Arabidopsis thaliana: one gene and its partners. The protein of the gene in region 1 interacts with the protein of each later gene in a pairwise test. Each region holds a gene or a part of one and is shown in the gene's direction. Other genes may lie near its edges.

Region 1 (7,535 bases):
CTTTCTAGTTTTGTGACTCTTTACTAAATAAAGCAATCATTATAATACACATTATGAAAATCACATACAGATTTTTTTATTTTTTTTGTCAACTTCGTACAACCCAACTTGGCATAAGCGACAAGTCAAGATAAATTCAATGCAGATTGTCTGTGGATGTTGAACTTCAATGATAAAACTTTTCTTCAGAATGAAAAAAAAAATTATTAGGGTGTTTTGTTTGAACGCCAGAGACAAGATATGATTCCTCATTAAGTTTTGATGGCCATGTTGGAAGTTTCTCAGATTAAGAGTGTATAAGCCTAGCAAGGACAAAAGCAATAAATAGATGTGGCTAATCTTCCTTGACTTAGTCACCATATAAGGGAGCGAGTGGTCAGAATCAGATCATTGATAGTTTGATATGTACATTGCGACGATTCAAGTAAAATTCATGCATTGCATTATTGATCTGGTGGATATAGCCAATCGTTGGCGACCCACAGGTGAAGTCCTGACGTGACATGGCTCAGTCAACGCAAATACTACTCAACTTAGAGACGTAGCTGGCCTGTATCTAATTGTTTTAAGGCCCATATACGGCCCACGCTTCCATTTTCTTAAGTATGCTTTTCGTAGTGGACTGAAACCTTTTCTTGTCTATTTTCTCCAAGTCGATTCCTTGATGATCGATCGAGATGAACCTCTATCGAACAGAAACTTCGTTTCTAGAAATTAAATAAGCCTCCATGAACAACAGTTTTTTCTTTTTTTTTTCTTTTGGCTACTAGTATTCAAAATCTTTAACATATTCGCAAATTTGTTAATAAAATGTATTTCACTAGGAAAATAGAGATTGGAATTTGGAGGCGAAAAAACATTAGTTTACAACAATAGTAGTTGAAGCCAAGATCCAGAGTTTTCCTATTGATTTTAAGGGTCCGGTTTATTGTAATTTCCGACTATTTTTTAGTGGACCAATTATTTGGCAAGTAAGAAGTTTTTTTAAAAATATAGACCATATGTGTATAATAGTGACCGGATGGCCCAAACTGACATGTACCAATAGAAAATGAAGACCTAATTTTGGCACATGAACGTAACAGGTATAAGATCATCGTTGTCTCTAGCGAGAGAGCTCTGTAATGCTTACACTTCAACGTGGAGACTGTAAGAGATACGTGTACCAAGAAACGTGAACGCAAAGAAGGAAAGGAAAGAAAAAACGTGTACAAAAAGAGGCCCATGTTAATCATCATCCCTTAGGCCTTCTTAGCTTATGCATTGTCTCTTTGCTAGTCTTTTTCTCACAATCGTGTCGATATATTTTAAGGGTTTTTAACGTGTGGTTTTTCTGTAGGGAGCATTAGTAGAATTATTGATTGGTTTTATTCAAATATAGAATATATATATATATATATATATACATAAAACATTTATTGATGGATCATTGAATGTTCATTTGTTCGTTACAACATTTTCTTATTCAAATTTTATCGATCCTTGAATCAAAGACTTTGACATAAGCGAAACCATTGGTTACTTCTCTAAATTAAAATGAAATGGTAGTCTTCTAATAAATATATATGTTTAACAAACAAATTGGCATAATTTGATCGTTCTAACCAAAGATAGGATTTCGAATCCAAATTGGATGGGATGACTAGACTATTAGATATTTAGATCGATCACCAATCAAACAAAATAGGCGTGCTTTTATATTCATTAAGCTGGTTTAAAACAACAAACAATCCAGCATTTTTAATTTTAGTGGTTGAATAGTTAAGTTAATAAAATCAAAGATAAACAGAAAACAAACAGCTAGTTTTTCAAATTTTGGCGTTTAATTTTATTTGGAATATTTTTTTTTAATAAAACACACAAAAAAAAACTCTTTTGACAAAAATTGGCATCAATACTGCATATCGCATAGCCCCATACATACATGATACATGCCACATCTCTTAAAAGATGAGAACAAGAAGGGATGTATTTGAACTATTCTGACAATATTATATATACACACACATTTTGAATATGAATCTCTCTTCTTCAAAGTTCTGACTTGTTCCAAAATTCTTATCCACACAATGGAGGAAAAAAAGAAAAAGAAAAGCCACAATAATGAGCCATAACCACAACCACACCCACTCACCAGAGACTTTGTGTATCCGTGGCTCTCATCATGACATCTCATCTTCCTTTGATTCTTCACACCACCGTCGATCGCCACGTAGGATTTCCCCAAATCAAAGCATTCCACATAAGCACAATCTTTTATGTGGCCAGAGTTTAATCAACATTTGTTTTTCTTACAATGGGTTCGTGAGAGCCACAAATAAATCAACTATACGATTAAATAACCATATCTAACAAAAAAAAAAAACATTAAACAATTATAGTCCAAGTAAACAAATACTCGCCTACTATGTACCATATTAGAAAGTTTTTTATTCTCCCCCAATACCGATATATTATTTTGTAATTTAAAAATTCATTGTTATCTTATCCTCGCAAGAAACACAGATGTTTTGGATCAGTTTGGGAAGCGAAGAAGTATGGGAGAGAAGTAAAAAACAAAACAAGTGGTTTATAAAAAAAGAGGGAAAGATAATTGAACAAAGATACGTGGGGCCCATTAAACTTGTGTTATGGTCCAGACAAATCCCAGGTGGGCTCACGTGGCTACGAAGCCCATTGAGAACCTGATTCGTCCACGTAGGACGGGACAGAATCTCGCTCTCCTCCTTCCCCGGCTGAGATCTCGCCACGTCATCGACTAAATAAATCTCTCCCAAAAAAATATCTCGAAACTGAACCATGAGTTTGTCGCCACGTACAAACGGGGTTTGGCTTTGGCCCATACGCATTAATAACTGGTTTTCAAAAATCATTTAAACTTATTTATCCTAATAACGCATAATTAATGTGTTTTACTTAAACTGTAATGATTCTAAGTAGAAAATGTGAAACAGTATTTTTTATCCACAAGAAAAAATAAAACACAAGGATAAAGCTAAAAACAATAAAGAAAACATTACTGACTCAAGTAATTTAAATAATTGCAGCAGATATAGATCTGATAATTATCCAAACAAAAATCTCAAATAAAGGTTAAAGTGATAAACCCATCTCTAAAGCAAAAAGATTTTTAAGTTGAACCAATCCTTAATTGATTAAATACTATACGTTATTACAAAGTTAAATTGAAATGAAATGGATACTAACCACAGAATAAAAAAAAAAGGAAGGTGCTATATAAAATAGAGTCATTGTGAAACCAAAGAAGAGAAATAGATTTTTTAGCAGAAGGCAGAAAAAGACGAAACTAGCCTCCAAAGAATTGTTGAATCACAGAAAACTCGCCACGAAAAATATCCCAAATCCTGCAACTTGCACTTTCCTATTCTTCTTCTTCTTTCCTTATCTCTCCAAGGAACCAAAGCATAGACACAAAACGAACAACCACAGAAACTTGAAAGAGAGAAAGAGTTTGATTTTGATTAAAATGGGGAAGAAGTGTGATTTATGTAACGGTGTTGCAAGAATGTATTGCGAGTCAGATCAAGCTAGTTTATGTTGGGATTGCGACGGTAAAGTTCACGGCGCTAATTTCTTGGTAGCTAAACACACGCGTTGTCTTCTCTGTAGCGCTTGTCAGTCTCTTACGCCGTGGAAAGCTACTGGGCTTCGTCTTGGCCCAACTTTCTCCGTCTGCGAGTCATGCGTCGCTCTTAAAAACGCCGGCGGTGGCCGTGGAAACAGAGTTTTATCGGAGAATCGTGGTCAGGAGGAGGTTAATAGTTTCGAGTCCGAAGAAGATCGGATTAGAGAAGATCACGGTGACGGTGACGACGCGGAGTCTTACGATGATGATGAGGAAGAAGATGAGGATGAAGAGTACAGCGACGATGAGGATGAGGATGATGATGAGGATGGTGATGATGAGGAAGCGGAGAATCAAGTTGTGCCGTGGTCTGCGGCGGCGCAAGTTCCTCCGGTGATGAGTTCTTCATCTTCTGACGGAGGAAGCGGAGGTTCAGTGACGAAGAGGACGAGGGCTAGAGAGAATTCAGATCTTCTCTGCTCCGATGTATGGATCTATCTTTTTTAACTATTTTGTCGGGAAATTAACAGAGAAAGTTTTGGTTTTAATTATCGGTTTCGTTGTTTTGGAAAATGCAGGATGAGATCGGAAGCTCTTCAGCTCAAGGGTCAAACTATTCTCGGCCGTTGAAGCGATCGGCGTTTAAATCAACGGTTGTTGTTTAACTCACACTCTACCGTATCGTCAGAATGAACGGCGCCGATACATCGTCTTCTCCGATCTTTGCGATCTCCAAAACAAGAAGAGATCTCAGCCGTTGATTCCTTTTTTTTTCTTGTTTAAGTAAATCACCACCGTTCAGTTTTCTGACAATACTTTGTTTTAGAGATGAGGTAGTTTCTTTCTTTCTTTGAATGTCGTACAAAATCAAATCTTAACTTTTTATTTTTCTTATCAATATCATTATTATGTTGATTTTTTTTTTGTTAATCTACGTAAGTAAATTAATTTCGATTCGTAAGTTTATGACTTATGTTATATGATTATATTCAATGGATCAAAAGGAATGGGGGAGAGATTGGTGGCAGATGGACACAATGGTATACACATACCGTAAAAATAAAGTATATGATTTGCTTTGTAATTTCGACCACTCAATTGTGGGGACTACAAAGAAAATGAAATTAAATATGATAAAATTTCGAGAGATTTTTATAATGTAATGGGTCCTTGAGGTTACATTCATTCGCCAAGAACATTGAACCTGTCATATCTGCCGCGTCTGTGAACTGTGTTTGATGGTCCATAAAATATTGACACCCCCATGTTTTACCTTATAACGTTATCTCACCATGTTCTTCATTCACATGACAGGATCACATCTTTGTTCACCATAGTTCTTTCGATTTTAATTTAAAATTTTACTCCTATTGGTTTCGTGTGTGTCATTTGGGTCCTATATACATACATCAAAACCGTTTATCCCTTCTTTTTTTTAACCACTTGATTCTCTGGCTTACCGAGGAACTGGTGTTGTGGGGGTTGGACAGTTGGGTCTCTCTCGAATTAATTTGAATAAAACATGTGGTTCTCATTTAAACTACATATTCTTTTAACGCAAATTCTTATATTGTTTCAATTTATAAGTTTTTATACGATTCCAACAAAACAAAACAAAACATTCGAAATTTAAACTCATTATAAAATCGATATAAGAAAGTAGAAAATATTTGTTAGGAAATTCGCTGGGTTTCACTATCAACGCATGACTAGCGTCAAATACTTCAACCATTAGTCCATAGTTCCAATTCCTAAAGTCAAACCAAAAACCTAACGGATCAGTCTTTATCCCGTACGTTGAGTTTGACTATTAGATTAAACTACACTAATTAACTACAAACCTAACATTCATTCATTTTATTCAACCATAACGTAATTTACATTCACACGACATCGTCAATTCCAAATATAATAATTCAAAACTGGAAACAGGAGATATGAAACTTGTCATTTGAAACTCTATGACTGGATCAATAAATTAAACATGCGAGAGTATAGAAATGATTTTTTGATTAGTTCCATATTTGGTAGCTTCCTCATGAGAAAATGTATGCATGAGAATCGAGAATTGTCACAATACATATGTGAATTTCTCTTCTCTTCTTTTTGTTCCTTTGTGCTTTTCTTCTAAATTGATTTTCTTGTCATGATAATTCTTTAGCAAACTTGTTTTTTTTTCTCTTTTAAGAAACTTTGAGTTGTTAGGGAAAGAGAAGTGCGGAAGAGCTCTAAGTCAGCCAGTGTAGATCACAATAATGAAAAAGGAACAATAAAAACATCCTCTGTGCAGATATTTATCTAGAATGGAAACCATGCAAAGAGGACAGAGTTGAGCATATCCTTTTTAACATTAATTCATACCATATTATTATGTGTAAAGTGTGAGTGACATAAATGTTGTAAATAATCTATGTTGTAACATAAATGTTGGAAACGGATGAACAATTAGTATGAATAATTGAATACTTTGGTCGATTTGTTTTAAGTGTTAAAAACCAAAATAGATTCCATCTTTTAGTATCTCATCGGATATCAAATTAGATTGAAGATTAAGGTCATAACCCCAAAAGGGTATTGTTTAAATGTGAAAGTCATACATGGAAAAGGGCATTGTTTAAATGTGAAAATCATACATGGAGAATTATAAGAAGAACAAGGACTGGGAATAAATAATCCAGAGGAGATTCCAGAGACTTTTCAATATTGCAAAAGATAGCAATAAACAAACACACAAACACACTCCTCTGCACAAATCCGTTTTGTTTCATCCATCGTTGTACCTACGAATTCCAAAAGAATAAGAAAAAAACCCGAAAGAATGGTCGGTGGAGACCACTCAAAGTTGAAAAGGTTGTTTATATTTTACCTGACTGTGAAGAGGGTGAACCTGATGAGATACTAAGGCACTTTACTCATCTGTAAAAGGAAGAGGGCTCAATAGTTATTCGCTTTGGATAATAAAATCATACCCAGACAACCTTGTTTTAATTAATTAGCTTGATGTCAAATATCCTTCTACAAGTGTCAACTTGTAAGAGTTGAAACTAAGATTCACAAGAGGAGTCAATCAAGAAAAGATCATGTACATTTTCTTTTGCAAACCTAGGCTTTGACAATTCATAGCTATTTTGCATCATCTTACGCACAGTTATCATATGTCTAGAAAAGTGTATAACAAAGGCTGTCTTAGCAATAGACTAGCTAGATCAAACAAAGAGAAGTGCTTATGATTTCTATATCACTCTATTCTCAAGTTTTTCCCTAGTCAAGTTTTACAAAATGCCACCAACCAGATATTTTCTCTAATTTACTGAAAAGGAGTTTCGCCAGGAAGCACAGGAGATTTGTCTCTTCTCTTCTTTATCAAGTCAAGAATTGTGAAACTTTGCTTACTATTACTCCAAACCAGATCAAATATAGAAAAGAGTCAAGAGATCACCCAAAAAAAAAAACCTTTCTTGGTGGGGGCCAAACGCAATTTTCTTCTAGACTGAGAGGTATCAAGAATATTCGAATTGAAACACAACCAGTTTTAGTAAAGAAGAGCAAAAGCAGTGTAGGAAAATCATGAAGTGAGAAAACGTTGAAGTTCATTTCCATACTTGCTCTTGCATTGCAGTGAAAATTTCCAAAAACTTCTAGATAGTCATCAAAAATGGCTACGAAATTTAACATACACTCAACAAAGCAACAGACACAAAAAAAATATGGAAAAATCAAATACTTTTCGATACTAAAGCAGAAAGTTAAGTAACCGGCTCATTCGTAAAACCACTCCTACAAGGTGAAACAGAGTCGAGCAAATTAAAAGTCACAATACTCTAATTTCTGAAGACGAATCATAGAAAGATCTAAGTTTTACAAGTTTCCATCATTGGCAATCTCTAGAAAACACAAAGCTAAGGTATTCAGAACAATTCCAAAAACTTATGCCACCACCACCAACCTT
Region 2 (7,850 bases), on another chromosome or scaffold:
ATCTCTCTCACATGCCTCTCTAAGTTCCCTTTAGGGTTTTCTTCTTCACTATAGAGACTCATGCTCTTCTCTTCCCAATCGCCGCCTCTGATCTCTCTTCCTCGCTTCTCAGATTAGGTATTAGACATTCACTCTTTCTTACATTGTTATAACATTGATGAAGTAGAAGCTTAGATTCATATCATTGCCATTGGTCACGATTAATCATCTCTTTCACTAAATCATCAATTGTTTCAATGAGAACCAATAACAGCTGAATCAATGTCGATACATTTGTTGTTACGAAATCTTTTGAATCTTCACTGAATCCGCTTTGTCATTTTTCTTTTGCAGCCTTTGTTTTGTTAGATTGATTTGTTATGTCCAACAATCTATTGCCTCAGCCTTGTATGCAAATGGGTCAATTCATTAATGTCCCTACTCCCACTCCTGAGCTGATTTCTAATCCGGAAATGAGATTGTCACAACCAATCTGTAGTCATATCTCTGGTGGGAGACAAGATTTTCATGTAATGTTGCCTAGTGTTGTTGGTTTAGGATCAGTTAATATGGATAAGACTCTGTTACCTGGTAAGCGGAAATCTCCGTTGCATCCTTCTGTGCAAAATAAACGGATGGCATTACCTATGGAAGGTCGACCGTGGGCGTCTGCTCCAATGCCTGTGCAGTTATCTTCTGTTTCCCCTAGAACACAGTATTTGCCTGCTTCGTTTGTTAGTAAGAATAGTTTTGTTTCTTTTAGTAAACCTGGGAAGCAAGCTGCGGCGAGAAAACCGACTTTACAGAAACCGATGTTGCTGAAACCTCAAAGTGAGTCGTCTGGTTCTGTGAGGTCTAAAATGAGAGAATCTTTAGCTGGTGCATTGGCAATGGTACAGTGTCAAATGGATGTTCCTAACGAGTCGAAAATGTTAGATAGTGAGACTGTAGCTAATCCTCTAGAAGGTCATGTTAGTGGGCCAGTGTCAGCTGCTTCTGGAGTTGATGTGATGGTATCTAATGGAAGTACTGAGATGCTGACCCTCAGTGATCCTAGTCCTGTTGCGGGTATCTCTGTTCAGACAGTGTTACCGGAGATTTTGTCTATCGCCAAGACAAGTGATGCCCAAGTACCTGAGGCTGTAAAACCGTTTGTGCAAGACAATGTTTCATATAGTGACAATGTGTTTTCAAAAGATGATCTTTTGCAAGGGAATGACCTCTCTTGGGCTCTCGAGTCGGACATTGAGTTTACTGTCAATTGTCAAAATGAAATGATTGGTGCAATGGCTAATGATGGGAGCCTGGAAAAATTGTTACTGGATCCACAAGTTTTGGCATTTGAAATAGAGACAGAACTCTTTAAGTTATTTGGTGGTGTAAATAAGAAATATAAAGAGAAAGGAAGGTCTCTCTTGTTCAATTTGAAAGACAAGAGTAATCCTAAACTCAGGGAAAAAGTTATGTATGGAGAAATTGCAGCAGAGCGATTGTGTTCCATGTCAGCAGAGGAACTTGCTTCAAAGGAACTAGCTGAGTGGCGACAAGCAAAAGCAGAAGAGATGGCTCAGATGGTTGTTCTGCAGGACACTGAGGTGGATATCAGAAGCCTAGTAAGGAAAACACACAAAGGAGAGTTCCAAGTGGAAGTTGAACCAATGGATAGTGGTTCTGTAGAGGTCTCTGTTGGAATGAGTTCGATTAACTGGTCTCGAACAAAGAATTTTAAGAAGAAAACCCCTTCCATCACGAAAACTCTTGGAGTCAAGAATGAATTGAACAGCTCTAATGAGAGCACTGGGCCAATAAACGGAGTCACAATAGATGATGAGATGCAGGCTGCCACTGGATCTCTTCCTCCAATTGTCTCTCTTGATGAATTCATGTCATCCATAGATTCTGAATCTCCGTCTGGCTTTTTGTCTTCAGATACTGAGAAAAAACCTTCTGTTTCAGATAATAATGATGTAGAGGAGGTTTTAGTTTCATCACCCAAAGAAAGTGCTAATATTGATCTTTGTACATCACCAGTTAAGGCTGAGGCATTGTCACCACTTACGGCTAAGGCATCATCACCTGTTAACGCTGAGGATGCTGACATAGTATCGTCAAAGCCTAGTTCTGATTTGAAATCCAAAACTACATCTGTTTTCATACCTGATGGTGAACGTTTATGGGAAGGTGTGCTCCAGCTGAGTCCTTCTACTGTGAGCTCTGTCATCGGCATTCTAAGAAGGTTTGTAATAAATTGTTTCATGAGTGGTAGCAAACCTATCTCAGTATTTTTTTTTTATTCCACATTTCCAAATTTAGGTTTGCATATATGAATAGCTTTCTTTATTTAGTCTACATGTTACTACTTATCTATACTATTCTAGTGCTTATCAGCTCTATAAAATGTTTTTTTAATGAATATGGCTTCGCTGTTATTGATACCATGTTTACCAACCTGATTTTTACGCTTCACAGTGGCGAAAAGACTACTACAAAAGAGTGGCCTATTTTGCTCGAGATTAAGGGTAGAGTCAGATTAGATGCATTTGAGAAGTTTGTTCGAGAGCTCCCAAATTCCAGGAGTCGTGCTGTAATGGTATTTGTCTACACGTTTACCTCTATCATTAATGTACATGTTTTATATACGCATTCTGTGTTTGAGCCCCTGCAAAAGCTATTAACTGTGACGTTTAACCAAGCTTAAGTAGAAGCATTTAGGAAAGAAGAGGAGAGATTAACGGCCAATACTGATTTGTGAATGATTGAGAAAAATACATTACATCTGTGAATCACAATGGAGATAGATGGACTTACAAAAATATTTTCACCAGAACAATTGCATAGCTTATGTTTCTTGAATAGGCCTCCATATTCCAATAAAACTAAGACCTGTTTGTTCTCGATTCTATATGTATGTGATGAACTCGTTTATCCATCATGGTACTTCTGAAACCTTGCTTTCGTGTTACAGGTTATGTGTTTCGTCTGCAAAGAAGAGTGCTCAAAGACAGAACAAGAGAACATTTCCGAGGTATGAGCGTTGGTAGTTAACCAAGATTCTGTGTATCCAAATAAACGAAAAGATGATTAAAAAAACTTGAGATTTATTTGAATATTAATGATTTATTTGATCAAAACTGAACGCGAATCTGTACAAACTGAAAACCCAAACCGAATTTAAATTGAAACACTCCTAAATATCTGTAGAATGTCTAACTTGGTAACGAAATTTGGGCATTTGGTTTTGTTACTATACAGGTGGTGGATTCATACGCTAAAGATGGGAGGGTGGGTTATGCAGAACCAGCTTCAGGAGTTGAGCTATACCTATGCCCAACCCGTGGGAGAACTGTCGAGATTCTAAACAAGATTGTTCCGAGAAACCAACTCGATTTCTTGAAATCTATAAATGATGATGGTCTTATAGGTGTTGTTGTATGGAGAAGACACACAATTTAAAAAATCACCACTATCTAACAACTCTCACAAGAACCACCGTGAAAAGGGTTCTTCGTTAACCACATATAATACTTCTCGTTACAGTAACATGCTACAGGTCAACAATGACGATGGTGATGATGTGCCACCGGGGTTTGGCCCAATGACCATGGCTCGGGATGAAGATGATGACTTGCCTGAATTTAACTATTTTTCCAGTGGGGATGTTGTCGTGAACCGGACAAGCCGGTCTGTATCTGTAAGAGAGCTTATTCAAAAATATGGAAAATCTGAACCTTTGAGGAACCAAAGTTATAATGATAATGACAATGATATACTACCAGAGTGGCAGCCTCAATCTAACTGGACTCTTGGGGTTACTCATGTAAATGGTGGCTCGATGGTTAGACCATGTAGTGAGTGGTGGTCTCATCAGGATGGCAGAGGAGGATATTAATTGTTTTTTGTTTCACCTTAGCAATTTTGTGTTTGTTATGCATTTTCTGTTGCAGGCAACACTGCTTTCCAAATTTTGTGATTTTCTCTCAACAGTCACCGATATTTGGCACTTTATTAGTAAGATGGGCTTGCGCAGCCCGCTAATATATTGCTCCTTTCTGTAACAAAAAGTACAAAAGTAACAAAATCCACTCCTATCGATTATACTATAAAACAGAAGTGCAGAGAAAATTTCAGTCATGATATTTTTTGACCAGCTCGATTCAGAAATTTGGAAAGACTAGCTTTTTTTTCTCTCGGGTTTCACTTTTTAAAGGTCGTGAAAATTTGGGAATCACTGATCAATTTTGTTAATATGATTTCCTGATTTAGGGTTTCTCTGCATGCCTCTAGAATCAGCAAGTGTAAAGCAATTACCATGGTGACTCCGAAGCAGATCGATTTCTCTTCCTGTGGTGGTGGTGATAACTCCGACGATACCCTCTCCCATCGAGAATCTCCACGGAATCCTTCCTCAAAGCGTGCTGCTGCTTCCTTCGCAGCAGAAGCAGGCGAAGAGACTATGAAGAAGAAAAAGAAGAAGAAGAAGAAGAATTTGGGTCCGCCGTTGATCGTCCGGATCTGGAACGAGGAAGATGAGCTCTCTATCTTAAAGGTATTCTATTCATCTTCTCCGTTACACTTTGATTTGGTTTTGCATTCTGATTTTCTCAAAACCAGATTCGAAATTTCTCAGGGATTAGTTGATTACAGAGCTAAGACAGGATTCAATCCCAAAATTGATTGGGATGCGTTTTACAGTTTCCTCGGAAGTTCTATCGTTGCGAAATTCTCCAAGGAGCAGGTTTTGAGTAAGATCAGGAAGTTGAAAAGGAGATTTCATGTTCATTGGGAGAAAATCAGTGAAGGGAATGATCCGAAATTTACTAGGTCTAGTGATTCTGAAGCCTTTGGATTTTCTTCGATGATTTGGGGACAAGGTGAATTTGGTAATGATGATGGTATGGATAAGGAGATGGTGAAGGAGCACGATGTAAACGGAAATGGCGCAGCTGAAAATGGGACTGCTCGAATAGCACAGGAGAACGAGAGTGGGGAGGAGATGTTAAAGGAGCATGAGGAAACGTTAAATGAGAATGGTGCAGAGGAGATAAGAGACAACGACGAGACTGCTCGGAAAGCACAGCAGCTCGAGAGCGAGAGCGAGGAGGAGATGTTGAAGGAGCATGAGGAACCCTTTAATGAGAATGGTGCAGAGAATATAAGAGACAATAACGGGACTACTCAAATAGCACAGCAGAGCGAGAGCGAGAGTGAGGAGATGTTGAAGGAGCATGAGGAAGTGGCTAATACTGAACTTGTAAATGAGAATGGGGCAGCGAAAACAACAGAGAACGGGACTACTGGTGGAAAAGAGAGACATGATGACGATGATGATGATGAGTTATGCGCTGTGCAGGATGCATTTGAGGCTGTAATGTCGCAAGGTTTAAGTGGTTATCAAAAGAAGTTGCAGCTTGAGAAGCTGATGAACCTTGGAACTGGAAAAAGAAGAGAGTTGAGTGATGAATGGAAAGCGTTATGTGTTGAGGAAAGAAGATTGAATATCAAGAAGCTTAGATTTTCCGCCAAGCTTGCAGAGGCAGCTAATGATAGTTAGATGAAACCAATAAGCCGTTGTAGCATTTGGTGTTAATTAGGTTCTTAGTAAGCCATAAGCTTTAGTCTGTTCAGTGTATATCTTTGGATGTTGTCTTTGTTCTGTTTGGGCAAGTGTTTGTAAGACATTCCAGTTTTAACTGAAGTATCCAGAAGAGCCATCCATGTCCATTGTTGGATATAATAAATTTCATTACTTTCTTGTTGCACCAATCAGTCAATGAAGTGGCAAAACATTTTATATGCATTCCCTAACAAAAGGCATTTACAATGTAATTTTTACATTTTTAACCACTAAAAGGCCAGAAGAAGTGCACAAAGAAAGACTGACCAAATAATAAAATAATTTTTCTTGTCGGTAGTCACCAAAACCATGCTATTCCAAAATGCACTTCCTTTGCAACAAACGGCTTATATCCATATGAATCCGACAGAGGAAGACAAAAGGATTTAGTCTTGTGATGTAGCAGAGTATTCAAAAAGCAAACGTTTGGAAGGTGCAGATTGCAGAAGGACACGCAAGCGGCTCGTGAGCTGGTAAATAAGTGTCCATTGCATTGCCATCTCAGAATCTTTCATCTGTCTTACCACAGAGGCCTGTAGATAAAAGACAGCAAGAACCGTGGAGTGCTTATTTTGGTTAGGTTTTGAAAAAAATGAGGCCATATGGAGAAGAAAGAAGATTTCAATGTTTATGCCTGACCTGAAGACGTTTTCCGAGCTGCACTTCAACTTCCGTTCCAAATGATATGTTGCTCGCCAGAGACTTGAGAGGATCCACAGTTGGATCAACAGAGAGTAAACTTGGGATCTGCGGAGCATACACCAACCTCCATCTCGCCTGACCAAACTCTCCTTTTCCTTCTATCCTTGGCATTATGGTTCCAAGTGTTGCGGTTGCAAGTTTTTTGAAAGCAAGTTGTCCATCTCCTTCTAATATGGATTCTGCTAATTGGCTCTCAAACACCTTTGCAGCCTGCGAAAGGGAGATTATTAAACAGAGATTTCCATCAAGAAGAAAACACAACAATTTCCAAAATACAGCTACATTTTAACTTCAAATTTACCTCCGAAGGTGAGAGAGCATCCTGTTCAACAGAACGTGTTGAAGTCACGACAAGTTTGTCCTGCCAATTACTGGCACGACTTTGAACCCTAAATTGCCATTCTGAACCAACTAAGGCTAAATCTAGCAGAGGATCTAGTCCATGTTCAGGCTCAAACTTTGCAACGTTGAGATGCTCCCTCTTCAGACGTACCTGTGTTTAGAAAACAAAATAGATGTTGGTTACTCGAGGACATGTTGGCTTTGCAAGAATTATGGAATGAATGAGTTCACCACATAAAATCAAAACAGAGATTTAGGCAAAACCTGAGTAGCCACAAGATTGACATCTCCGTTTTCGAATGTTAGGACACCCTTTGGTTTGATAAATTTTGGATGAGCCATGCCATCAAGTTCAAGCTCACCACTAACAGCAAAATTAAGAATTAAAGGGTACATTATCCTCAGCTCTGGTCCTAAAACAAGTTTCATATCACTCAGACGGATATCCATATTTGGTTTCATTTTCACTTCTTCAATCTCCTTTTCAACAGAATTTGATTTACCTGTTGCAGGCAAAACAAACCGAGATCATTACAAAAGTGTTTACATACAAAGTCCAAATACTAAAATAGAAAAAAACGTAGAAATTTTGCTAGTAAACATGTAGGTTACCAGTCGACTGAGAGAATTTCATCCCTGAAGAAGCCCGTTCAGTGCCAAAAAATCGAGCAAAATATCGTGAAGAAACTGCTTGATTAATAGCAGCACCTGGAATACTATACTGATTGGCTGCCAATCTATTTAAAGGGGCAGCTCCACCACCCTTATCATGAGGCAGATAAGCTTCTCCTTGGCTTAATTTAATATTTCCTGATATAGTTGGCTGCAACATTGATCCAGTAATTTGCAGCTGAGTATCAACCTGACAACTGATATGGCAACACGATCTCTCACGGAATCAGAAAAAGTAATAAGCTCAGTAACATGAGTCTAGAAGAGCAAAATGGAAGAAACCTAGACGATACAGTATCTCAGCATGCAGTCTAGATATATAAAATTAACAAAACTGATCCACGATAAAGTATGTACCCATCAAGATATATCAATAGTTAAAGTAAGAAAGATAAATCAAAATTATGTACTAAAAGCTTAAAATGATTGACAGCAGCGTTGATATTGCAGAGTATACCTTAAAAAATTCTTTGCTCGTACTTCTAGAACTTCACATTTGAGCTCTATTCCATCACCAGCAGATGCTTCATTTGATCTAAGG
Region 3 (8,394 bases), on another chromosome or scaffold:
AATCTTACTTGATTATTAAATGAAACAACTTAGTATTTTTTATGTTATATTAATCCCATTCCCTAGATGGTAAACCGGTGTTTAATCTGAATTTTAGTTTGAGTTTTTGGATTTTTTGTTATCAATAATGGTTTTCAAAGTAAAATCTTTGATGTGATATAAAATATAAAAAGTTTGGTACAATTTCGGTTTCGAATTGGATTCAAGTTCTTATCAAAAATATTCTCAAACAAATTTACATTAGCTGTTTTTTGTGGTTGTTCAGTTCGAATTCGGTTCAGTATTTCCTTTCGGCAATTAGCACTTGAATATTTGATTCATGAGAAACTTGAACCGTCCAACCTAAATATTGTTCATGATCAACTTTATAATATCCTAAAGCCATTAAGCCTTTACTAAAATTTAAATCCAACTATGTTCTACTGTTTAATATCTACTCGAAACATCCAAAAATCTATAAATCTCCTCCTTCATCCAATGATAACTAGGACTTACCACGGCTTTCAACTCATTCAATCTAGAAGATCATTCTCGTCTACAAACATTAATTGAGATCCACAAATCACTCAATCAAAACCAGATCACATAGCCTCATACTTATATTTTTATAAATCGATCACACATTATCACTTTCATCTCATGCACGTATAGTCACGATTACATTCAATATACGATTTTTCACATAGTCTAATGCATAACACATCAATCTTCTTGCTAAGACGGTCACCTTTTACATATTCATCTAATCCATTCATATTTGAATAGAGTGAATACAACAAACTATAACCTTAATCCAATAAATATTTATAAGAATATGTTATATGTGAGTTCAAATCTAAAACTCGATGGCTAGCTTGAGGTTTGGTGCATACATCGAAAGTCAATAGCAAACAGGATGATATTTTCAGGATGGAATGACTATACGACAGCAAGTACTAACCTCGAAAATGAAATGAATCTGGCCGTGAGATGACAATTTAAAATAGCTAAAGCCTAATAATGCAATATGATGGGTGGAGCAAAATAATTGAAGAACTAAAGATTTTTATTTTAGAGAAAGTCAACCAAATTATAAAGAAAGTAAATGCAAAATGTCAACATTTGTTTTAACACATTAGAGTAAAGTATTTTTTATGTGGGCAAAGGCTCTCGATCTTTAGCTGCAATTATTAAATTTGTGAAAACTATCATATATTGATGCCTCACTTCACTCATCTTTTGAATAATAAAGCCAAGAACATCACGTCAAAAATAAAAACTACAAAAGTCAAGACCATGATCACCATGTTCCTACTTTCATCCTAAAAAGTTTACGAAACAACAATACACAAAGGAATGAAAAAGATGAGAAAAGAAAGCCAATAAATATAGTTTTCTCACCCAAACAATTGAAGACCATGTGATATATAACTATATAAGATATTAGGTACTAACATGAAGCATGCTATATCTATATAGTATGGTTTAATAGAATATTAGGTAGATGTATGTATAATTAACTTCAGATTGCATAACGTTTATTATTGAACTGGTAAAATCGAGGGAAAACAAAAAAAACTTACCATTCTTAGTTACGTACATACACAAAACATGCAAAGAAAGATAACTACCTAACTATAAATTACGTTTTTGTTGTTGCTGCAAAAATACAAAAAGGAAGATAAAGAGAAGGAATTGTGATAGACCAATATATACAGTGGCAATAACATTTTTACACCATACCATTATATATATAGGGAATAAAGGTATTGTCTGGAGGAAAATGACGTTTCCGTAAACAAAATAATGATAAAACAAAAATAGTGAAAAGAGTGAAAGAGAGAAGTGCAAAAGGGAATCTGTTGGAAGTGTAGAAAGAGAAAGCGACGACCACTTCAATCCAGTGTTGTTCTTTCTTTCTTTTTTCCTAGAAAATTAAAGATATTGCTTTTTACCAAATAATAATTTTATCTTGGTGGTAGAAAGGTTTGCAAGAGTTGTAATATACAGAAAGAGAGACAATGGGACCTAAGAAGGGAATCTCTGAGGAGAGACAGAGATGTTTCAGATCGAAAGAGACGCCAAATTGTGTCTGTCACTCTGTTCTTGTGTGTGGGTCTCCTCTCCTTCCTTCCTTATCGAATCCATATTCCATTTTGCTTTTTTTTCCCTAGAAGATTTTTAAGAATCCGAATTTTAACATAATCTTTTGTTTAGTATAATTCACTTTCCTTCTTTTTTAATTACTTTTTAAGGGTTCTTTAAAGGTTGTGTTTAGTTAAATTTTCGTTTCTCTATTATGAATTCAAGTGATATAGAGAATAAAGATTTAAGTGATATAGATGATAAAAGTTCACTTGTTAAAGAATAGTTGAATATTGAAGTCCTTTATGGTTTCGAAACCGAATTTACAACGTGATTTTCTGTAGGTTTTCTACATAATAAAGAATCAAAATTCGTAAAAGTAAGAATATAGAATATCCATTCCAAGTGAGTTTGAAACACATAATAGCTAAGTAACATGTGAAAAAACCTTAGGGCATAGGAAAATAGCAAAGGTTGGATGTTTTGTTTCTCGCACCACATAATGGGCAATGATTGTAACACCATTCATCTTCTATTCATATAACAACACAAGTACACAACCAATAATGATTTGTCACATAGGTGAAAGCGACACATGTGTGGGAGGAAAATTATGTTCGCTGAGCTTGATGAATCAATGAGAGAAAACATGGCTTTAAGAGATGAATCAAAGATGGATGTAAAAGGTAAAAAACACATCCTCATCCGATTGAAAAGTGGAAATCAGTAATTTATTTCCAACGTTTACTATATTCCAAACCTATGGACAAACATCTTGAGTTTTGGACAATTCTTAGAGATATGTTATTGATATTCGACTAAAAGATAATAACCTTTCTAAAAGAGACCAAGAAAGCAATCTCGTTACCAAGATACCAATGTCAAAAATAGAATGTTGTTATTGACATTCAAAATGACATTGCACAATGTTTCAAGATGTGCTACAACAGAACTTGCAAGATTTTTGGATATTTGGATACTTGGTGTGAATTCATGGCTGGATTTAGGATATGTTCCTAGTATATATATATTGACTTATTTGTTTTCTAAATTGCCAAATAATGATCATCTGGAACGATTTACGAGTTAGTAAACTTCGTACATGTGAAATATTCTCCTTATCGATCATGTCGTTAACATCCTAACGTCCCATCCAAATAATGGGCTTAGAATTGGGCTTAGCAGAAACATGGGCTAAAATCCTTGTGCGTGGATCTGAAAGAAAGGCAGCCAATTAATGTGCCTAAATCCATACACTGTAATGCAGCCAATTATTTCTCAAGTAATTAATTACCTATGTAAATGCAACTTTATTTCCGGTACAACAGTTAGATATTTTCAATTAATGACATCTTCTTCTTCTCCTTTCACTGCAAAACCGAAAGCTTGAGACTTTGAGATTATGTCTATGTCATCTTCTTCTTCTTCCATCGATCACTTCATCACCTTTCGTCATCTTGATCTTATTCTCCACTGTATAAAATCAGCGAGATTTTAAGGGATTGTGAAGGTACCATCTTAAACACAAAATGGGTACTTCTACTACAGAGAGTGTGGTGGCGTGTGAATTTTGCGGCGAGAGAACGGCGGTTCTGTTTTGTAGAGCCGATACGGCGAAGCTTTGTTTGCCTTGTGACCAGCACGTGCACTCGGCGAACCTTCTCTCGAGGAAGCATGTTCGTTCTCAGATCTGTGATAACTGTAGCAAAGAGCCGGTGTCCGTACGTTGCTTCACAGATAATCTCGTATTGTGTCAGGAGTGTGATTGGGATGTTCACGGAAGCTGTTCCTCCTCCGCGACGCATGAACGCTCCGCCGTGGAAGGGTTTTCAGGTTGTCCTTCGGTTTTGGAGCTTGCTGCTGTGTGGGGAATCGATTTAAAGGGTAAGAAGAAAGAAGATGACGAAGACGAATTGACTAAGAATTTTGGGATGGGGTTGGATTCGTGGGGTTCTGGATCTAACATCGTTCAAGAACTGATTGTTCCTTATGATGTGTCTTGCAAAAAGCAAAGCTTTAGCTTTGGGAGGTCTAAGCAGGTAGTGTTTGAACAGCTTGAGTTACTGAAGAGAGGCTTCGTTGAAGGCGAAGGAGAGATTATGGTTCCGGAGGGAATCAATGGCGGAGGAAGCATTTCTCAGCCATCTCCGACGACGTCGTTTACTTCTTTGCTTATGTCTCAAAGTCTTTGTGGTAATGGTATGCAATGGAATGCTACTAATCATAGCACTGGCCAGAACACTCAGGTCCATTTCTCTATCTCTCTCTGGCAATTGATTTTAGGGTTTTAAGTTTGGTCATGTGTTCTTGCTTTTGTGCTTAGAACATGTTACAGTAACTTCAGTTGGATCTTTAGGTCTCCAAATCTGTTAAGTTACCTGTCGGAACGTTGATTATTCTTTCTTGGTTGTCCTAATTAGAGATAAGACTCTGTTTTATGGCCTGGGGTTCACAGTGGAATATACGTTGTTGCAGATATGGGATTTTAACTTGGGACAGTCGAGGAACCCTGATGAACCTAGTCCAGTCGAAACTAAAGGCTCTACTTTCACATTCAACAACGTTACTCATCTCAAGAACGATACCCGAACCACCAATATGAATGCTTTCAAAGAGAGTTACCAGGTATTACATTGTTATTAGGTTTGGAATTGTAAACCATTTTATTTATCTCACAAATTGACAAACACAACGCACATTGCAGAACGTAATTAGAGTTTGTTCTATAGACAATAAACTCCCCCGATCCCTAAATTCAATCCCAAAACACTCCATACCTTAAACATTTGAATATTCCCTCATATATAGCTTAAGTTGGTGACTGATATACTGGTCTGGTAGTAGCTACATCTCATGGGTTTATTTCTATTGGTTAGAACATCTTGGAATGAATGAAACCTGATGTATTTATATCATAATTGATAAGTCAAACTACTATTTTTGGTATATCTTTGTCGGTGAACTGTGATACTTATAAGTAGAATGTAGCAGGAGGATTCCGTCCACTCAACTTCTACCAAGGGACAGGAAACATCTAAGAGCAACAATATTCCTGCTGCCATTCACTCGCATAAAAGTTCTAACGACTCCTGTGGCTTGCATTGCACGGAACATATTGCTATTACTAGTAATAGAGCCACAAGATTGGTGGCGGTAACGAATGCTGATCTAGAGCAGATGGCACAGAACAGAGATAATGCTATGCAGCGGTACAAGGAAAAGAAGAAAACGCGGAGGTAATGATGTTCTCCATTTTTTCTTTTAGTTTCCCTTTTGTAAGTTGATTGTCTTTCGAAATCGCTAATTTGTAATTGCTTCAGCAGATATGATAAGACCATAAGATATGAAACGAGGAAGGCGAGAGCCGAGACCAGGTTGCGTGTTAAGGGCAGATTTGTGAAAGCTACAGATCCTTAGATGTCTCTCCACGTTAGGTTTTACATTTGAGATCCTAAGTTAGGAACTTTTTTTGTTTTTTCTACTTTCAACTACCTTGTAAATGTAAATGATCGATCTTCAGCTGCATAATGTGTGGCCAGATTTTTGTAATTTTTACGTTTAACCTTCTAGAAGCAAAGTTTCTTAACCCAATCAAAAGAAGACAGACTCCACAGAAGTTAAACCCGTAAATCTCGGACGTAAAACATGTCACATCACTGGACAAAAAAAAAAAAAAAAGCTTCGTTGAGTGATAGTAGAAAAACCAAAATTCCTCAGGCAATTATTATTAACTCTGTTTGCCTCTATTTTTGTCATCATTCTCAAAAGGGATCAACTACTATATGTAATATACAACTAAGATCATCCATGAGACTAAAAATTGGAGGATATTTACATATATCTGCAACTATAGGGAATGCCTTCCTCCTACAGTTTTTAGGCAGCTACAAACGTCTTACACCTTACATCTTAAATCCTCCTCTGCAAATTCACCAATTAGAACGTATATCAGCAATTCTAGATTTTACACTTAAGCAGAACTTTGCGGAACACATGAAGGGAACCAAAAATCGGATTGCCCACATCTACTTAAACGTGACACACATGATGACTTTTTTACTCTAAACCACACAAAAAACTAATAGACAGTGAAAAGAAGTAAAATTAATGGTTTACCTCTTGTTTGGACATCATTAGGTGGTCTGCACGTTCGGGAAGAGCCTGTGGCGGTGGATGGATCAATGACATTGGGGTTAAAGGAGGCGAGGGAGTGCCTAACTTTTTAGTGCCCAGACTTGTCTTAGACATATCTAAATCTGATGCTCTAAGGTTGCTAGTAGGTATAGAGAAGCTACGAGTGATTGCAGGTGGTATAGGAAGAGGAGAAGCTGAATTTGTAATAAGAGGTTTACTAAGCAATTGGCTCCTCGAAACCAAGGGAGCTGAATATCCCAATTCCCTAGAGGACTTAGTAGAGCTTCTTGGTGGTGGTCTAGGAAGCTCATGGAGCTCACTTATTTTTGGGGTTGAGACAAATGTAGGGGAAGCAGTTGGAGATGATGACACTTTTGGCAATTTAGAAACTGGATTCCTTGGGATCGGACCAGAGTATAAGTGAGATGTTGTAGAGAGAGGCTTGTTCGGTAACGGTTTACTTGTCAGTGGACCAGAGAAGGATCGTCTCTTGAGTGTACCGAGACGAGAGAACAAGAGTCCATCTGCTAAAGGCGGAGGCAACCGAGATGTATTCTTGTTACTCTCTCTCAGGACTTGTTCTTTCAAGGCTACCATTGATCTTGAGGAAACCTTTGCAGGTCCGCGAGTTTCAAGTGGGGATGAATACCAAATCTGCTTTGTAATTGCCTTTGTAGGATTAGATGACCCCACGTTTTTGTGACCTGGACTTGTAGTAGATGAGGGACTTCTCGTTGTTTCCACAGGAGTTGGCAATGCATAAGTGTTGAATTTCCGTGTCAGAGTTGATCGCATCCGTAACAGCTTTTCTGAAGGAGGAGTTGTGCGGTTCTCGGGAAAAAGTGGTGCTGATTGGCTCACTGCCCTTACATCTCTCCTAAACGAATGAGATTTTCTGTAATTTCCTTCCTCATTTTCCTGGTAAATAAATAAAAAGACAAAGACTGGTAAGAGAGAAATAAATTGGGTGGTTTTCGTGGTAAAGATGAAAGAAATTAAATTCCTTGAACTATGAGCTTCCTGAGAATTTGTCTGCGTCATTTGAAAGGAAAAGCAGAGAAGATGTGATCAAAAATAAAGCATGGTTGTGTTACCTGTGCAGTATATGGTCCTCCAATTTGTGGAAATGTGATGTCTGAGTTACCCAACTGCATGCATTAGGCAAACATTTATTAAGCAAACGGGTTTAAGAAATAAAATAGCACAAGATTCAAATTACTCAAGACTGATAATCTAAACAATTTCAACCGATCTATTTTAAATGGCATTCATCATTCGTCATCTCTAGCAGCAAGTGGTCCAGAAAAAAATGTTCTTCTCCATATGACCTTTTTGTTGATAAAAGATTCAAATTGCTTCCTGTATTAACCTCATTTATAATTTCTTAGGTCACCTTTGGGAGAAACATTGGAACATCGAATATCACTATTCTATTAGTGATAACCAATGCACTAAAAAGGATAAACAGGAAATATCATCAGAACCGTAAACATATGAAACCATCACCTCTGAGGAGCCACCAGCTGAAGAATCCGCATCTTGGTCCTTGTCATTAACTCTATATTCAAAACTCAACTCTCCATCATCATGCACCTCAGAACCATCGTTCTCATTGTTTTCAATTTCATCATCCCCGTCATCATCTTCTAATCCGCTGAAATGGTAATCAATATGCTGTGACTCGGTTACCATCTGTACATGTGGGTCCACTTCTTCAAGGGAACTAAGAGCCTTCTTGAAGAAGCATAACTGCAAAACCACACAAAAAAGTGATATCAACAGAGTGCTCTGGTGATCGAAACAGAAAGATGAAAAACAGCCCAAGATGAAACCTGTGCTGCATGGTGCCTTGCTGCCTGAGTCAAAAGACTACGTGTTTGCCCTTGTTTCAGGGATTTTAAACGGAAAACAAATAAAGTCGTCTCGTTTTCATAATCATCATGAGCTTCTTGTAGTTGCTGTGGCGAAAAAGTTTCTCCTTTCCCACCCTTTGATCTCCCTTTCTCTCTTTGTCTTGTAAGCATGCCTTCATAAACATTCCTGAAAGGTAAGAGTTCCATGAATAATTGAATAAAATACTTTTTGCCCACTAAGATATAAGGACATGTTGATAGGAGGAGATAATTTAATAACTATGGAACGGTAATCCCCTCATGAGGCCAATCAGATTTCTGCAAAACTCATGTATCTCTAAAA
Region 4 (9,094 bases), on another chromosome or scaffold:
ACAAAGGTTTTGATTAACACACTCAAAATCTTCCTTCATTATGTGCAGCCTTGTTTCCAGTCCCTTACAATCAATTTTATTGTGGTTTCGATCAGATTGAAAGCCGCCCTTTAAGGAAACATCCTCTCCGAGCATCTGGAGGACTAAAGTAATTTCTCTCACAAAACCACTGTTAAGTCTATACCGTACCCAGAGTGTCTGAGCAGTGATGAAAGTGTCTCTCTTTCTGTGCTTGACAGATACTTTGACTATCTTTTCTATGTGGACTTTGAAGCATCTATGGCTGATGAAGTTGCTCAAAACGCACTTAGGCATCTCGAGGTAAAGCCTTTGGTCACTTGATCTGAAAACATGTACATGTGACTAAGACTCTGGATTTTGTTATTGGCAGGAGTTTGCTACCTTTTTGCGGGTACTGGGAAGCTACCCAGTGGACACTACAATGCTCTAAACATTTCAAACATCTTCTTGGTAAATAGTTCATTGGTTTGCATTTCGGATCTGAGTTAGTAAAATTATATCAAGTGAGGTGAAATATTTGAATAGTTTGTGACAGAGATCCGCTTGATGATATCATAATCCTGGTATAAGGAGCTATATCCCTGAGGTGAGGTCTGAGAGGAGTCACCACCTTACAAGACATTCCGCTCTTGTTACAAATTCTGTTTAGTTTTCCAAAAAAGATCATCTTTGTTTTTAGTAAGAATGTAGTCACTAAGTCAGATATCAATGACAAATACCAAAGAACTAGTGTTTTTTCGTGTTTCATCCATACATAGATACTTATCCTGTGTCTTTTTTAGAAATTTCTTTTTGTATGACGTTTCAAAATTTTGATTGACTATTGTTAGTGGTATATCTTTGAGTTAATAAACGAGATATAATCTGTTTTCCTGTTCACAAAAAAAAAAAAAATAAAAAAATCATATATCATCCAATTTTCTTTTGGTTCAGATTTTAAAACATTGGGAAAAATAGGGACTAGATGACAAATAACAAGAAATCAGAATTTTGGAAGGATTAAACAATAATCGCTTCTTGTGCAATAAGCCAAAAACAGGATTAAACAGATTCGCTCAGTTCTCAAAACGATGAAAGTAGCGGAGAAGATTGTTTTCCTCTGGAATGATTCCGATGGATTTGCTGCAACCATTTCTGATACTTTAAACCCTAGCCCTAGTTCCCCTCTTCGCAAACTGTAAACTCGACTCGTCCTTTCTCGATTTCCGCCTTTTACTTACTATCTCCGCCTAACATTGTAATTCCTGCAGAGAAGAACAGATCCAGCTTCCGTTGGATAAGTATGGCGTTGAAGGTGTGGAAACCGGCGGGAGTATCGTTCATTTCGTAGATGAAAATGAAGTTTATCAGGTTCCTCCTCTTTAAATCGCGTTTATATTCTATTAATCTTCATAGTTTAATTGAGTTCGTTTCTCGCTTTATTTATAGTCGTTGTTTGTTCTTAGAACTGAAATTTTATTCAGTGATATAGTTAAGCTGAAGAATAGTGGTCTCCTTAATTTGTACAAGATTGATTACTTTCTGATTAGTCGACTCTGTTTACCTGCAAAATGTGATATGATGATTGGATTCTTAAGGATGTGCAACTGTTACTATGATTTGTCTTCATTAAATTGTATTTGCCGAAACTAAAGCCTTATGAGAAAAAAAACTAAGTCTCTATATATGCTTAAGTTAGAGTGCTTAGAGGTGTTGACTTGGCTAGTGAAAAAGCAATAACAAATGCCTTTTCTTCAGTCTGTCAGCTAAATGGAACCTAACTTATGATATTGGACTGTCTTCTAAGCTTGGTCAGATTTTGGCCCTTGATGATAATATTATCCCCAAATTGGTTATCTTGCAACTTGCAAGACTTGATATCATGTTTTCTTGTTTCTCTGTTGAATGTGTATTTCTGGACTATGATTTCATTGCTTAACTTTCGGACTATTTCTTATATTGTTTAAGGTCTCGATTTTTCTTCTTCGAAGTTATGAGCCTCCAGTACTAGTGTGTGCTATGAATGAACTGCTGGACCTAATTACAAGGGGATCGTCAACTCTACCCACAATCATAGCTCCTTTCTTTGTGGCGGCATCTAAGCTCAAGTTCAATAACAGATCCCTGGAAGCAAATAACAGAAAAGCTAGTCTTCATTACGTTCAAGTTGCTACAGAAACAGAGACCAGTAGGTTATTTGCTTCTCGCATCGAGAAACCACCACTATCGATGCAGATCCATTATGAACCTTTGTCATGCTTGCTTCATCTAGCTCGTGTTAAACGCCTGCCTACCGCTATTCTCATAGGCCAAAGAAGCAATAGCCTAACTCATAAAGCTCTAGACGAAGAGCTTCAGGTAATTTTACTTAGTAATTTTGTCTCAGTTTATGCTTGTTTTTCGCTGGTTGATTTCAGCTGAATAACGAGTTTGTGTTGTTGTTGTCATCACAGGTGATCCATGAAACAGGGGAGCTCGTGGCTAGTTGGACAGGACTGTCTTTCTCAAGAGACAGAATCAAGTGGAGCGCATCAAAGACATCAAAAGAAGAAGAAAGTCCGTGGCGTGCTCTTTATGGCTAATCTTCACAGGTCAGGTCTTTTTCATGGCCCAACACTGCTACAGTCTTTGCTTGGACCTGCAGTAAATTTCCCTATTGTAGTAGTACCCTTTTGTTAAAATTCTTATGCTCAGCAGAACCAAATCCACGTCACTCTGCTTTTTCTAGGATATTTATTTATGAAAGAAACAGTTTCTTTTTTTTTGGGCTGACTTGGTTCAACCAAATCTTAAACTCTCAGAAGCATTTTGATTTAAAGGTACATATATTTGGTCAACTCATGGGAGGATCATAACATAGGAGTGGGATTACTTAATATAATACAAATGATTAGAGTTATGATTGGTGGGAGAGGCATAAAAAAAGAGAGATTAAAATTGGTGTGAAGTCCATAAAAGGCACTCATGAAGTATAGTAATAGAGATAGTTAATGTTATCTTAAGAGAAAATAAGTGAGGTGTCGTCAGCTCTGCTAACTGCTAAGCCGGTTGTTTAATAATAGGATATTGATGAAGAAGAAGGAATACGATGTTTTGTACCAAAGTTTTTCGGATCGTCCGAGAATCTTATCCTACTGACATTTCAGCATCATATGTTATTTTTTTTGTTTGTTGTTTTTATATATCTTGTTCGATCTTTTTAGTGCGTCTTATCGTCGCCTTTTCGCTTTCATTATCATTTGATTAGATGACTACTATTCACTTATTTGCCAGGCAGATTTGTTAATATTTTAACCAATTAGGGTCTTTGATCATTCGTCTTTGATTGGATACATACGAGTCTGGATAAAGAGCAATTCATTTTGATGTTTTCTTAATTGAGAACGAAACACAATATTAACTCACCATTAACTAATACTATATTATATGAGTTTAAAAATTAACACTTGCTCAATTTCAAAAACAATAGTTTTCTGATTAACAATGCATCATTTCAATTCGACTTCTCATCTTGTAATTATAAACTTTGAACTGAAGTTATGATCAATTATTTAGTGGTACTAAATCGTATATTCAATAGGAACTTAAATTGTAAACATGTGAAAACAGTCAGACACTTAAAAAAATGGAGGTGGGGTTTCATCCAAGACTTAACCATCATTCTTTCATATTTGGTCTATCATGTTTTGCTTTTTTATATTACTCAATTTAATAAATCGATATCGAGTACCCAAGAAATCGAAATAAAGAAATGGGTTTAAGTAAACCGGTGAACAATATTAATATGAGGAAAGAAAAAGGACAAAAGAGAGATCTATCATATTGATTTCATTATTTTTCAGCGACTTTATGATTATTATTTTTATGAAGAATATTGGGGCAAAGGCTAGTAGTACGTAGACGTAGTGTGAAATATCTTTCTGGTCTGAAAGAGTTATACAGACGTATCTAACTTGGCAGATATTTTTTGGTTTTCATTCAGTTCTCTCTCCCCTCAATGATAAATATCATTAATTTATTTTATTTGTTCTACCAAAAGAAGATATTTTTGTTATATACGCCCACCGAAAAATGAAGAAGAAGAAGATATTTTTGGCTTTTGTAAGGTCAAAGCAAACAGATTTATCAATTATTATTATTATTATCTGAGACTGAGAGAGAGAGAGAGAGGGAGATTTTCTGAATTCTGATTCGTCGAAAAGCATCAAAAAAGTGAACGCTTGAGAATCCATTATGGCACAAACTAGCCACTTGGTAACTTCCACGTCGCGAGTAGATTATCTTCAATACTCGCATGCGCGTGAGTAAAAAACATACAACCTTTTTTTCTTTTCTTTCTAATAGTAATATCTTTAAGAAATATCCATAAAAATTTTATTGCTTTCACTATAAATACGAGAGGGACCCACAATACCCTACACGAACTTTTTTGCACTTTTTCGTCTTTTTAATTAATAAAAAAAAGAAAGAGAAGGAAGGAAATTAGGCACTTTTGATAAATCAGATTATGTCAGAAGCGCCTACATGTCCCTTTGCGGACACACCCACCCATTGTCTATCCATTCATTTTTTTTTTTCATTTCTTCCTCCAGAGAGAGAGAGAGAAGCCACAACAAGAAGAAGAAGAAGAAGAAGAAGAAGAAGAAGTTCTGGAATAGTCATCATCTTCTCTGTTTCTAGGCTTTGTTTATTTGTCTCTAAAGTTTCTGGATTCAACTTCTGAAGAAGATAGTAGTAGTCCACAAGAAGGATCTTCTTTACGTGAGTTGTTTGTTTCTCTTCTCCCTCTGTCTTTTCTTTTCTGATTTTAATAATCCCAAGTGTGTTCTTATTTTCTTGCTATCTGTTGTATAATTGGTGTTAGTGATTGATTATTCATTGTATATCGATGAAGGGTTGGTTTTGATTTTTGTTGAATTGGATCTTTTGATTTGGGGTTTTAAAACTTGTTCGGATGATGATGATTGGGATTGATCCAAAAGTTTTCGTTATTTATTGGAAATTCAGATTTTTTCGATTCAGTTCCATTTGAACTAGTAAGTCAAACAAAATCTCTAGATTTACTGATCTGGGGTTTATACTTTGAAGCTTGAGTTGTTGTTGTTTTATTAATTTATTTCGATTTTCAGTAATATCCATTTGTAGGTTTTGGTCTCTGACTCTTGTTTATAATAAAAGCTCTGTATTGAGTAAAATCTCATGAAAGTAGGTTTCCTTTCCCTTTTTTATCCTTCTCCTTTGGTTATTAATCTCCTACAACCTTTTTTTAGAAATTACTACCTATATTCAGAAAGATTCCATCTATTTCTTCTTCAAGGCTTGCTTTTTTGAACCAAAAGTCTCTCTCTTTTTCATCTAATAATTTGTTTACTTTTTTGGACAGCAGAAAGTTGATTTGGTCAGAGCCAAGGAAGATGGGTTACATGTGTGACTTCTGTGGTGAACAAAGATCTATGGTGTACTGTCGATCCGATGCAGCTTGTTTGTGTCTCTCCTGTGACCGGAGTGTTCATTCCGCTAATGCATTGTCCAAACGACATTCTCGGACACTTGTCTGCGAGAGATGCAATGCTCAGCCTGCTACTGTCAGGTGTGTTGAAGAAAGGGTTTCACTCTGTCAAAACTGTGACTGGTCTGGCCACAACAACAGCAACAACAACAATTCTTCGTCTTCTTCTACTTCGCCGCAGCAGCATAAGAGGCAAACCATAAGTTGCTATTCGGGTTGCCCTTCCAGCTCAGAACTCGCTTCCATTTGGTCTTTCTGTTTGGACTTAGCTGGACAATCTATTTGTGAACAAGAACTGGGTATGATGAATATAGACGATGATGGTCCTACCGACAAGAAAACTTGTAATGAGGATAAGAAAGATGTCTTGGTTGGATCCTCTTCAATTCCTGAAACCAGTTCTGTACCACAAGGAAAATCATCTTCTGCTAAGGTAACTTTTTTTCTCAATATGTTATTACTTTTGCATCCATGGATATACATATCTATCATTTCTTTACTAAATTCAGAGTTGTTGTTTGTTTTGGTTTAAAGGATGTTGGAATGTGTGAAGATGACTTCTACGGGAACCTTGGTATGGATGAAGTTGACATGGCACTTGAGAACTATGAAGAACTCTTTGGTACCGCCTTTAACCCCTCTGAAGAGCTATTCGGGCATGGTGGAATCGATAGCCTTTTCCATAAGCACCAAACAGCTCCAGAGGTTTTTATCCATTACCCTTTCTTCTTAGATTTATCAAATTGGATGCATCTCTGTGTGATTCTAATAATGCTCTCTTGTTTTTGCTCAATCCAGGGAGGGAATTCGGTGCAGCCAGCAGGCAGTAATGATTCGTTCATGAGTTCGAAAACTGAGCCAATAATTTGCTTCGCATCGAAGCCAGCACATTCGAACATATCCTTCTCTGGAGTCACTGGAGAAAGTAGTGCTGGAGATTTCCAAGAATGTGGTGCATCATCTTCCATACAGCTCTCGGGGGAGCCACCATGGTATCCTCCAACATTACAGGATAACAATGCCTGCTCACATTCAGTAACCCGTAATAACGCAGTTATGCGTTACAAGGAGAAGAAGAAGGCTCGCAAGTAAGTAGTAGTCTGAAACTGCAAATACATGAGCATCATTGAAGTGAGTGCAGGATTTTCCTAATGTGACTCTGGCTTCTTTTTTCTGGAAACAGGTTTGATAAGAGAGTGAGGTATGCTTCCCGCAAAGCAAGAGCTGATGTGAGACGGCGTGTAAAGGGGCGATTTGTCAAAGCTGGTGAAGCTTATGATTACGACCCTCTCACCCCAACCAGAAGTTATTGAAGACTCCTTTTGAAAGGTACATAGATATATATACATGGCGAAGAATCGAACAAGAAAGGTTTTGACTTATGGGCAGTTTCAAGTGAGCAACTTGGAAAATTGTGGGTTAGTAACAAAACAAGACTACTGTAGCATGAACAGATTTCAAGACTGACTCTTGTAAGCAATCATTCATTCTTGGGATTCAATCGTTTTTTTTGGCCTCAGAAGCTTCATTCTTGACCAGAGGGATTATTCTCTGACTTTCCTTGTCCAAACTCCGGTTTCTTCTTCTTCTTCTTCAGGCGTCTCACACTGATCAGGGTTCCATGAATTTTGTTCTTCTCTTGGTAGTTAAAAAGGCAGGGAAGGAGATTTAGAGTAATTTAAACAATATGTGATTGTTGTATATGCCTTTGTATTTGTTTGTATACTCATAAATGTTTTTCTGTTTTGTACTCGGCATTCTTGTAAATTAAAGACATTATCCACATTCTTCTATAGACAAAGAAAGTTATGTGGTACCACTTAACCTAAGTCTCGTTCTGTAACAACCGACTAGTACTAGTTCAAGTTTAACGAGATTTTGGTTTGTAGTAACTTCAAGAGGTTGATCCAACAATGAGGCAATGCAAAACATCTGAACTTTATTATTTAAATGTCAGATTATAAAGGGGAGTCCATTTATGTGAGTTTAGGCGCTTTATCGCTGTTTACTTAAACTTAGCTTCTACTATGTCAATTTTGAACACTTATCAAAAGTGATTGAGATGCAAAACAGTAGTTTTCAAGATGACATATGGACCAAAAGTTTTTAACATTTATATTTGGAGTATTTCGGATTTTACAACTTAATGTGAATTTTCTTGAAGACTCATATTCACAAGCCTTAATTTTCGAATTGAGGAATAAACATTCAGAGAAAGTTGATTCGCGAGCAAGAAATTTGTCCAATTTGATTGCTGACTCGGATTTGAAAACATTGACCAAAGGCTAAGAAAAGAAGGAAGAGAGGAAGAGTCTTCAGATACAGACTCAGGTAGCAAAGTTCTTGTCTTAGCTCAGAAACTTAAAAAGAGAGCTAAAAAAGACCTCTTAAAAGCTAAGAAAGAAAAAAATTTGCTAAATCAAAAGAAAAAAAAAAAGATATAGAAAACACCAAAACACTGGTTTCATACAATACCTTTCCCTACCCTTATGATCATTCTCTCTGTAAATCTCCTTCATGCTTAAGCCTTCAACTTCATAGCTTCATCTCTTTGGTAATTTGTTAGATGGCACACACACACACACGCAAGTCAACAAAAACCCGCACCCATATATCTTTCCTGATTTCTCTGGAATTTGAAACTTGTTGAATCTTCAAAATCTTTTTCTCCTTTATACTTCCTGTTTCAGTAATTACTTGGCCAATTCATCTGTGTTTGCTGAGGCTGTTGGAAAACGTTAGGCGCAGGTGCAACCATTTCAGCTCCAGCCACACCTTGAGACTGTTGTAAAAGCGGATGATGGACTCCTGTTGCTGTTACTGCTTGTCCCGGATGGTACATACCTGGGAATGCGACGTGACCAGCTTGTGCTGGAGCATAAGTCACGTGTTGCCCATGGTGCTGTAAACCATAGAAAGAGCTTGGCACATCTCGTCCTGGTCCAGTAATCCATACAGGTAATGCTTCACTCTGCAGAGACCCCACAATTATAAATTAATCAGGAAAGGGAACTAAACTTTCAACTGAGTTGGTTTTGGGAGGGAGAGGGAATATGTACCTGTTGCCCTGTTGTACTGTAGCCGTTGTTTTCTTTCAACTGCAATGAGTTGAGATCCTCATTGGAAGTCGAATTCCCGGCCGATGCAGCAGAGGTGGGATTATATCCTGCTGGGAAAGACCCATATGTTGGTCCATACCCACCAGTAATACCGACATGAGTCATGTTTCCTGTATTAGTCCCAGGCTTGTAATGAGGGAGTGTGTATTTGCCTCCTGTTGCAGTTCCAGGAGGTGGAGGATATACACCGCTTGCCTGAGGTTGCTGAGCATATGCACCATTGCTTAAGTATTGGTGCATTGTAGGGGGAGGTAAATAGAATGGGGAGAAGTATCCATATGGCACGTAGTTTGGTGGATAATGCGACATATGTAAGCCCGGAGGGCGGAAAACAGGAACAGGCTGCTGCGTGACAGGTATAGAGCTCTGCATTAGTCCAGCAGCTTGAGTTACCAGTGGTGGTGGACTAGCAGTAGACAGGACCAAGTTATTTCCACCCTACAAATCAACATGTTCAAGCATTTCA

The links.
Region 2: the proteins of BBX28 (region 1) and AT2G25650 interact in a two-hybrid assay, tested with the Arabidopsis thaliana proteins (one large-scale study listed by BioGRID).
Region 3: the proteins of BBX28 (region 1) and BBX12 interact in a two-hybrid assay, tested with the Arabidopsis thaliana proteins (one large-scale study listed by BioGRID).
Region 4: the proteins of BBX28 (region 1) and COL9 interact in a two-hybrid assay, tested with the Arabidopsis thaliana proteins (one large-scale study listed by BioGRID).

What each region holds. Positions count from the first base shown.
Region 1 is NC_003075.7:13,672,366-13,679,900, forward strand, and holds BBX28 (B-box type zinc finger family protein), read left to right. Parts: upstream 1-3,171; 5' UTR 3,172-3,487; coding exon 3,488-4,072; intron 4,073-4,164; coding exon 4,165-4,251; 3' UTR 4,252-4,690; downstream 4,691-7,535. Other genes in the region: PHOS34 (Adenine nucleotide alpha hydrolases-like superfamily protein), read right to left, coding at 6,495-6,502.
Region 2 is NC_003071.7:10,910,477-10,918,326, forward strand, and holds AT2G25650 (DNA-binding storekeeper protein-related transcriptional regulator), read left to right. Parts: upstream 1-4,034; 5' UTR 4,035-4,288; coding exon 4,289-4,525; intron 4,526-4,606; coding exon 4,607-5,530; 3' UTR 5,531-5,740; downstream 5,741-7,850. Other genes in the region: AT2G25640 (SPOC domain / Transcription elongation factor S-II protein), read left to right, coding at 360-2,215, 2,449-2,569, 2,945-3,004, 3,232-3,432; emb2410 (embryo defective 2410), read right to left, coding at 5,980-6,126, 6,233-6,505, 6,597-6,788, 6,902-7,140, 7,250-7,506, 7,767-7,850. UniProt on the Arabidopsis thaliana protein: Probable transcription factor. May play redundant roles with GEBP and GPL2 in cytokinin responses by regulating the transcript levels of type-A ARR response genes. Involved in stress responses.
Region 3 is NC_003071.7:14,185,246-14,193,639, reverse strand, and holds BBX12 (B-box type zinc finger protein with CCT domain-containing protein), read left to right. Parts: upstream 1-3,385; 5' UTR 3,386-3,593; coding exon 3,594-4,310; intron 4,311-4,539; coding exon 4,540-4,689; intron 4,690-5,052; coding exon 5,053-5,300; intron 5,301-5,387; coding exon 5,388-5,481; 3' UTR 5,482-5,717; coding exon of another isoform or gene 5,718-5,720; 3' UTR 5,721-5,726; downstream 5,727-8,394. Other genes in the region: AT2G33490 (hydroxyproline-rich glycoprotein family protein), read right to left, coding at 5,974-5,985, 6,181-7,116, 7,293-7,346, 7,705-7,947, 8,031-8,238.
Region 4 is NC_003074.8:2,437,080-2,446,173, forward strand, and holds COL9 (CONSTANS-like 9), read left to right. Parts: upstream 1-4,489; 5' UTR 4,490-4,761; intron 4,762-5,383; exon of another isoform or gene 5,384-5,386; 5' UTR 5,387-5,414; coding exon 5,415-5,942; intron 5,943-6,043; coding exon 6,044-6,214; intron 6,215-6,307; coding exon 6,308-6,597; intron 6,598-6,692; coding exon 6,693-6,822; 3' UTR 6,823-7,453; downstream 7,454-9,094. Other genes in the region: ADT2 (arogenate dehydratase 2), read left to right, coding at 1-6, 96-148, 240-321, 392-451; AT3G07640 (period circadian protein), read left to right, coding at 1,092-1,198, 1,272-1,371, 1,969-2,358, 2,454-2,582; AT3G07660 (flocculation protein (DUF1296)), read right to left, coding at 8,196-8,480, 8,569-9,066.